Canis lupus familiaris: one gene and its partner. The protein of the gene in region 1 interacts with the protein of each later gene in a pairwise test. Links are inferred from orthologs where the notes say so. Each region holds a gene or a part of one and is shown in the gene's direction. Other genes may lie near its edges. The genes, in order: MTFR1L and ARMC1.

Region 1 (4,370 bases):
AGGCAGCAGACACTCTGCTTCGATGCCCAGCAGGCTCTTCCCCTCGTGCAGGTCCAGGAGGGCCCGCCCCACAGTGAGCAGTCCTTGTCCCTTGTAAGGCACTGATTGCTTTGGCTTTCTCATCTTCATCTCCTACCTTTTCCTGTCCCCCACTGTGCCCTGAAGCTCATGGTGGGGGAGGGCCTCCAGGCCCCTCCTGCTACCCATCTGTACTCCCCTCCCCTCCCCACACGTCCTATAATAAAATTGGAGAGACTAGGATGGTTCTCAGTGCCTTTCCTTTGAGCGGGTTATGGGTCAGTTCTATCCTTGGTCTGACTCCTCTGTGGAATTGGCTCGGCACATGGGCAAGGGAGCATGGCTGGAAAGTCTTGGGGACTATCTTTTCTGTCACTAGAGGGCTTGAGTGACATTCTTTTTCCTTTTTTTTTTTTTTTTTTTAGGATTTTATTTATTTATTCATGAGAGACACAGGCAGAGGGAGAAGCAGGCTCCATGCAGGGAGCCTGGTGTGGGACTTGACCTCAGATCCCAGGATCACCTGCTGAGCCACCCAGGTGTCCCTTAAGTGGCATTCTTAAAGAACTTTGTGATAGACCTAGTAGTAGAACTTACTACTGTTTTTAGAATGGTGAGAAAGATTCTGAAGTTCATTACCCAATGTCTTAGAGGCAGAGCCTAAGACAGGCATTAGGGATTTTTTTTTTTTTTTTTTTTGGAGGGAATACACTTCAGGGAAAACCTGTATAAGGAGGAGTGAAGAAGGGATGCCTAGCTGGCACAGGTGGAGGAGCATGTGGCTTGATCGCAGGGTTGTGAGTTCAAGCCCCATGTTGGGTGTAAAGATTTAAAAAAAAAAAAAAGATTATTTTTTTAAGTAGCCTTTAAAATTAAAAAAAAAAAAAAGATGACGAAGAATGGGGAAAGGAAAGATGCTAAGCAGGGATAGGATCTGGGTGGACAACTCTGAGGTCTCTGGCCAGGACAGCTATGTAACTTGCAGGATCCATCCAGTGCAAAATGAAAACTGTAGTGCCCCTTGTTTTATATTTATACATATATATACATATATGTAGAATAAGAATATAAATAATATAGTTTCAAGAGGGCAACAGTAGAGCATGCAAGCAAGAGGCCCTGTGTGACTGCCCACAACTGTCCCCCGTGAAGCCAGCCTGTCCCTGGCCGCTAGGACTTGCAGGCTCTGAGACAGAAGAACCGCAGCCTGGGAGCAGGCACAGCTGTTTGCTGAGGTCAGAGGAGGGCACGTGACCCAGGCCTGGATGCCATGGAGACCAGGACGAGGACCCGGCCGTGAGGGTTTAAGCAAGAAGAGGGAGCGGGTGAGGGGCGTCCGGAAGGAGAGCGGGTCCCTTTCCCAATGCCCCTGGGCTCTTGCCTGCCAGCCTATCTCACCGAATCTGCCCTGTGCGTGTGGGATACGCAGAAGACAGCTACTACGGTAGGAGTCCGAGGAGAAAGATGGCCAGGAGGCTGTGGAGGGCCTTGGCTGGGAAGCACGAAGTGTGAGGAGCGGAGCGGGGCGAGATGAGGCAAGGCCAGGGGTCGGTCCGGGGGCCTGCAACGCCAGGGCGGCCGTTCTCCAGTGGACAGCAGGCGCCACACCATTTGGGGCGCGGGCGACGTGGCCAAACGTCGGCCGCTAGAGGTGGGATCAGGACTACCCAGGGACAGCGGCAACGAGGCGCAGACCCGCGGCGATGCGGCCCAGACGGCCGCGGGATCTCCAGGCGCCGTCGACTTTTCCCAGAGGCCGGGCCAGCGCGGGCGTGGCCGCGGGTGGGCGTGGCCGCGGTGGGCGTGGCCCCTCCTCGGGTCCGCCCGTGAGGCCGCCCCGCCCCGACCGAGGCCGCCTCCCGAGGGCGCGCGGGGCCACTGCCCTGTGCGCAGCCGCCAAGGATCGCTTCCGGGGGCGGGTCAGCGGAAGTGAGGGCGGTTGAGGCTGGGCTGCCCGCTGCGGTAGGAGGGGCCGTGAGGTGAGTCCCGGAGCCCAGTCTGAGGTGAGACTAGGTCCGAGTGCCGCTTCGGAGGCGGGAGTGCGGTCTGCCCGCCCGACTGTCGACGCGGCCTAGCGCAAGGCGCTGTGCGGAGCTCGCGGCTCCTCTTCCCGCGCCAGTTCTCGCGGGAGCCGGTGTTGTCCGCCTCGCCCGGCTGAGGGTGGGAGGACTCGGTGCCCGGGGGTAGCTGCTCGCCGGAGTTCCCGGCCTCGGTGGCCGCGCGACAGCGGAGGCTTCTCGTTGCCGCTGCACTCCGCGGCCCGCCGGGCCACTGCGGCCGCCTCGCTCCTTCTGGGACCAGCGCCCGGGCCTGCGGGTCCAAGGGCCGCCGGTGCCGGCGGCGAGGACTTGGCCGACCTTGGCCCCGTGGGGTCGGGCCGTTCCGGGGGAGGGGAGGCGTGTCCCGGGCAAGGTCCCCGCAGCGGCTCCCCCAGTGCGGCCCACGCAGGCTGTCGCTCGCCAAGTTCCACCGAGCGCCGCGGCCTCGACGGGGCGCCTGGCCCGGAGGGATGAGCGCAGGCCCTGCTCTGGAGGAGCCCCGAGTCTCCTGCGGGAGAGCGTGTGTGCACAGGCCATGACGGCGGTCTGGAAAGGGGCGTCGTGGGCGCGCAGGGCTGATGAGAACCAGCCTGCATTGCCAGCGGACTGGGGGAAGTCTAGCCCAGGACCCTTGGGGCGGGGAGGGGGGTGAAGGCCCAACCGGAGTTCTCGGTTCGTGCTCCGGTGCTGCGCCTTGGGAAGCCTTTGCCCTGCGACAGGCAGCAGATACGGGGCTCTGATTACCATTGTGAGGGCTCAGAAGGAAACGTGGGGCGCTGGGGGAGAGGGGCGGTAAGGACCTGACTGTGGGAACGCAGAGGTGATGAGCTTGTGAAGAAGGTGCTGGTGTTTGAGGCAGAGAGGATAGTGTGGATGGGGGCGGAGAGGCGGTCCGCTCGGCTGAAGGGCTGAGGGGCACGGGGAGCCGGGAGGTGCGCTGTCCAGCGGTGCGGGGGGCCTTGGAGTTTGGTCTAGTGAGGTGGGGCTGATTGTGGAGAGCCCTGCAGGCCATTCCGGGTCTAGATGGTACTCTGTGGGCTGCAGCGAGCCGTGGGGGTGTTAAACACAGGAGCAGTGTGTCCTAGAAAGACGGCTCTGGCTGTTGTTAGGCCTAAATGAGTCTTTGGGGGGAAGTCTGGAGGAGAGGAAGTGGCTGTAGTGTCCAGAGTGAGAAACAGAAGTTCTGTGGAGCTTGTGGCGGCACCGACATTCAGCCCAGAGCCTGGCACACAGAGGGACTTCGATAAAAGCCTTGAACTGCAGGGAGTTGAGCCCACGCAGACGGCAGCACAATTTAAACCAGACTTAAAGTGCTTTCTACTAGCATGACCACTAGTGACCTTAGACACTTCCTCTCTCCAGCTTCTTTTCCTTTGTATAGGGAAGTGAGTGATAACTCCTCTCCCTCAGGTGAGAGAGAAATCCTGCAGGAGTTTTCAGTCCGTCCCGTTCAGAACCTGCCCTTGGCTCCCCAGTGACTTCTCCCCTGAGCATTCCCAGCCCGTATGACTTGAACCTCAGTTTACCTTTCTCTCTTCCTCTTTACACCCCTCTCACTTCCCGTCTGGGACCTGTACGATTGTTGCTGTTTTCCATCCTTTCCTACCCCTTTAAACTCGCCGTGAGGCCTTGGGGTCAGGGGCCTGTACCCACCTGGCCACCTGCTTAGATGTACCTTTCTTAAGCAATGATATTCAGTCTTTACTAGAATTCTGTATTCAAGTCCTATTTCTCTTCCATATTGTGAGTTCCTTGAGAGCATCCTTCCATAGCCCCTGCAGTACCCAGCTCAGGGCCTGGCACAGAGTAGGTATTGTTACATTTGATGAACAAGAGAATGAGTTCATTGATTGCATCTGCTCACCAGACGAGAGCAGCTGTGAAGAATCCAATCAGGAGTTCATTAAGCACTTTAAAATCCCCTAGTTCACTGAATGATCCTTAAGGTAATCTAGGAAGGGAGCTCTTGTCCTCTTTTTACATATGGAAAAACCAACATTCAGAAAAGTTATGGGACTTGCCTAAGGCTATAAGAGCAGTAGACGGCTAAGCAGGATAAAATTTTTTGGCTCTTTTCCCTGTAGCCCAGTAGAGTGAGACTGACAAGAACTGGCTGTTTATTCTCCTATTGTCTACTTTACATTTCCCCTTTGCCAGGACCCAGTAGTGCTAGGCTGGGTGGCATATGCTGGGCTTTCACACCCTATCTTCAACAATGAATGCTAGATTTGAATGGTACCAACAATTTGGCTTTTAGACTACCAAGAGAGTTCTATTTACATCTCTACAAGTAATGCCTCAGGAAACCTAAGG
Region 2 (3,811 bases), on another chromosome or scaffold:
TGGAGATTGGAAGTTTTAAGTTTAGGCTTTTATTCATCCCAAAGGAACAGGGAAGGCCATAACTTTTTCAGCGTTATTCCCACTGAATAGTTATCAAAGGACTCCGATAAGAATGGAGCTCTCCAGTTCCAAGGTCAGAAGTGAATGCAAAAGGACCTCTTCCAGCGTATTTGGTTCTTAATGTAACTTGGTTCTTGGACCTTTTAGCCAGTAATTGGTTCTTCAGGTTCCACTTTGGTTAAGATTTGTGCTGGTAACAGCACGTAAAGCTCTTGGTTAAGGTGGTTTGTAAACAGGGATATTGAGTATGCTGATAATAGAGGCACATAAGAGGCAGCATGCCCCCAAACCTGTTAATCTTATCTCTGTGTGTTCAGTCTATTGCTTTTTTAAAATATTTTTAAAATTGCCACAGTAACTATCATATTTTCATTTTGAAAATAACTGTCAGATTCTGTCTTGCTAAAGCCCTGTTTCCTCTGAGTCCTTTATTTTGCACTTGCTTGTATACTTAAAATTTATCATATTTTATCTTGAGTATGGTTTTCTTTTGCCATATGGTATAAATTATTTTTTTAAAAGATTTTTATGTATTTATTCACAAGAGATACACACACAGAGAGGGAGAGAGGCAGAGACACAGGCAGAGGGAGAAGCAGGCTCCATGAAGGGAGCCCAATGTGGGACTTGATCCCAGGACTCCAGGATCACGCCCTGGGCCAAAGGCAGGCGCCAAACCACTGAGCCACCCAGGGATGACCCATGTGGTATAAATTAAACTTGCTTAGCAGTGATTTTAAATTGCTTAGAAGGCATTCCAGTACCATTTATTGAGTAATCTTACTATTTTTTTTATTAATATTTTGCTCCATGTAACTTAACACTGTTATGTATTGAGCATTTACAATGTGCTAGGCACATTGTATATTGTCATTATATCTAGATCATACACCTTTGGTAGCTGCTATGATTAGCCCTATGTTACAGATGAAGAAACTGAGACAAAAGAGTAAAGGAATTGCTTGAAATCACATTTACCAAGTAGTGGAGCCTTGGTCTGACTCACTGAGCCTGCTTTCTTATATTGAATGCATAAATAACTTTCCTGGGAGAAATACCTTCCTACTGCACCTCAACCAACACCCCCCCTACCACCCCCACCCCCGCTTTACTATTTATAACTTTGTATATTTCAATCTGGTGAGGTCAGTTATGCATTATTACCTTCTTCCCAAAAAATAACCTGTAATAGTCTTTTGAGTAACAGAAGAATTTCTGCCCCTTCCTCCCCTAATTGGTATTGTTTTTGAAATTGACACTAAACTTATTTTGATTCATGGAAAGTATTTTTGGCACTAAATTGATTCATGGAAAGTATTTTTACTAATAGGAATATACTATGTAACTTGGTTAATGGAAATTATTATTTTTAACTTTCTGCACAAATGAAGATTATTCCTTGATATTTTGTTTCTTAGGTTTTTGTATGTTTAACATGTTACATTTTCTAGCATATCAAGGTTTACTTTTATGGCAGAAAGGTATGCAAATTTAAAAGGACTGTATGGATGGGCACCTGGGTGGCTCAGGTGGTTGAGTTTCCAACTCTTGCTTTTTAAAGTACTGTATGGAGAAAAGTAAACAAAAAGACAATGGAAAGTGGAAAGACTGTTGATTAGGAGATAAGATTTTAGCATACTTTTTTTTTTAAGGTTTTATTTATTTATTCATGAGAGACACAGAGACAGAGAGAGAGAGGCAGACACATAGGCAGAAGGAGAAGTAGGCTCCCCACAAGGAGCCCAATGTGGGACTCAGTCCCAGACCCTGGGATCCTGTCCTGAGTCAGAGGCAGACACTCAACTGCTGAGCTACCCAGGCATCCCTTTAGCACACTTTTATACTAACTAGCTTTTGTCACATGGGGCAAATAATTTAACTTCTTTGTGACTGTTTCCTTATCTGTTAAATGAATTACCTCGGGCAGCCCAGGTGGCTCAGTGGTTTAGCGCCGCCTTCAGTCCAGGGCATGATTCTGGAGACTAAGGATCGAGTCCCACGTCGAGCTTCCTGCATGGAGCCTGCTTCTCCCTCTGCCTGTGTCTCTGCCTCTCTCTGTCTGTCTCATGAATACATAAATAAATAAATGTCTTAAAAAAATAAATGAATTACCTCAAATTGTGTTCCATTCTTCTGAATATGGCACACTCAGAGATGAAAAGGTGTATTACAGATTCAGTTCAGATTCACTGTGATCTCTAACTCCTGGGGCCTGAGACACAGGGTGAAATATGAGATACCCTTCTTGGCTTTCTTGTTCATAGCCTTTTTTGACTCCCTCCTTTTTCCTAGGGGATTTTATCTTTTGTAAGCCCAGTATGCTGGGTTTTGTTCATAGATGAATACGAAAAAAAGCTTTCAGCTAGACGACACCTTTCCCTGAGACACTTCTTGTAGGCTCCAGAAGTGTTCTAGAAAAAAGCACTGGCAGTGGTAGAATTTGAGAAGTATAGTGAAGGTTATGAGCTTTAACTGTAAAGATCTTGTTTATTATGACTTTAGTGTTAAAATATGTATTGCTAAAATGGAATTTATTGGAATATTGAAGATGACATATGTTCTTTAAATATTGTGCACATAAATAACTTGATTTTTTTTTTTTTACTTAGCTTCTTATGTTCATTTTACTTAAACTGTGGAATTGCCAAGTCTCACGTTTTTGTGTGATTTAGATTCATCTGTTCTTTCTAAAGGTGTTGTAATCCTGATTATTTAACAAATGCCATAATGTACCTCAGCAGCCTAGAGCTAATTTTGCAAACCGTTTCTACAGAATTTAAGAAGATTTGGTTCATGTGTATGGCATAGAAGATGAATTCTTCGTCCTCCACCATGAATGAAGAACCTGATGCTCTCTCGGTAGTTAACCAGCTACGGGATCTAGCAGCAGATCCATTAAATAGAAGAGCCATTGTCCAGGATCAGGGATGTCTGCCTGGCCTTATTTTATTTATGGACCACCCCAACCCCCCTGTTGTCCATTCAGCTTTGCTCGTAAGTTGCCTTTAGTAATTTCAGTCTCAGTGTTATAATTTTGCAATTCAGAAGATTTTGAAAAAGTGTTAGATGACATGGTAAAAATTAAAAGTGACTATAGAGAAAAAAAGTAGACTATAGAGTAAATAGTAGTAAGTATATTTCTATATGTGCAAACACGTATGTGTGTGTATAGTCCTTTGACACAAATGGTAGCATACTGCATGGAATGTTCTGCAACTTTCTTCATAAGAAATCTTGGACTGTATCATTTCAGTATGGATAGACACATTAAAAAGATATTTATTGTTCCATTTTTATTTTGTAGTACCTTCATTAAGGTCTGAATCACATGCTGTACAAGTCACTCAAAGTGTATCATTCATTGTTTTTTAATGTATTCACAGAGTTGCACAGCCATCAACCCAGTCAATTTTAGAACATTTTCATCACCTCAGAAACTTCTCTACCTATTGCTCCCCAACCGCCTACCTCCTTCCCTAAGTAACCACTTTCTATCTCTGTATTTGCCTATTTGGGCAAAAATGCCTATATATTTTTTTACATAAATAGAATCATGTTATATGTGGGTTTTGTGAATTCTTTCTCTCAGCATAACGTTTTCAAGGTTCATCTATATTGTCACATGTATCAATACTGCATTTATTTTTGTGTCCAAATAATATTCCATTGCAGAGAAATACCACATTCTCCTTATCTGCTTATTAGTGGATAGACCTAGCACTTGTTTTAGTAGAAGATGGGAGGGAAAGAT

What was found.
Region 2: the proteins of MTFR1L (region 1) and ARMC1 interact in binary tests that used the Homo sapiens proteins (3 or more experiments, as listed by UniProt). The two-hybrid records come from large-scale screens. The link is inferred for Canis lupus familiaris from reciprocal best matches to the Homo sapiens genes MTFR1L and ARMC1.

Annotation. Positions count from the first base shown.
Region 1 is NC_049223.1:73,526,662-73,531,031, reverse strand, and holds the start of MTFR1L (mitochondrial fission regulator 1-like), read left to right. Parts: upstream 1-1,309; 5' UTR 1,310-1,462; intron 1,463-1,862; exon of another isoform or gene 1,863-2,021; intron 2,022-4,370. UniProt on the Homo sapiens protein: Mitochondrial protein required for adaptation of miochondrial dynamics to metabolic changes. Regulates mitochondrial morphology at steady state and mediates AMPK-dependent stress-induced mitochondrial fragmentation via the control of OPA1 levels.
Region 2 is NC_049250.1:15,786,824-15,790,634, reverse strand, and holds part of ARMC1 (armadillo repeat-containing protein 1), read left to right. Parts: intron 1-2,833; 5' UTR 2,834-2,871; coding exon 2,872-3,054; intron 3,055-3,811.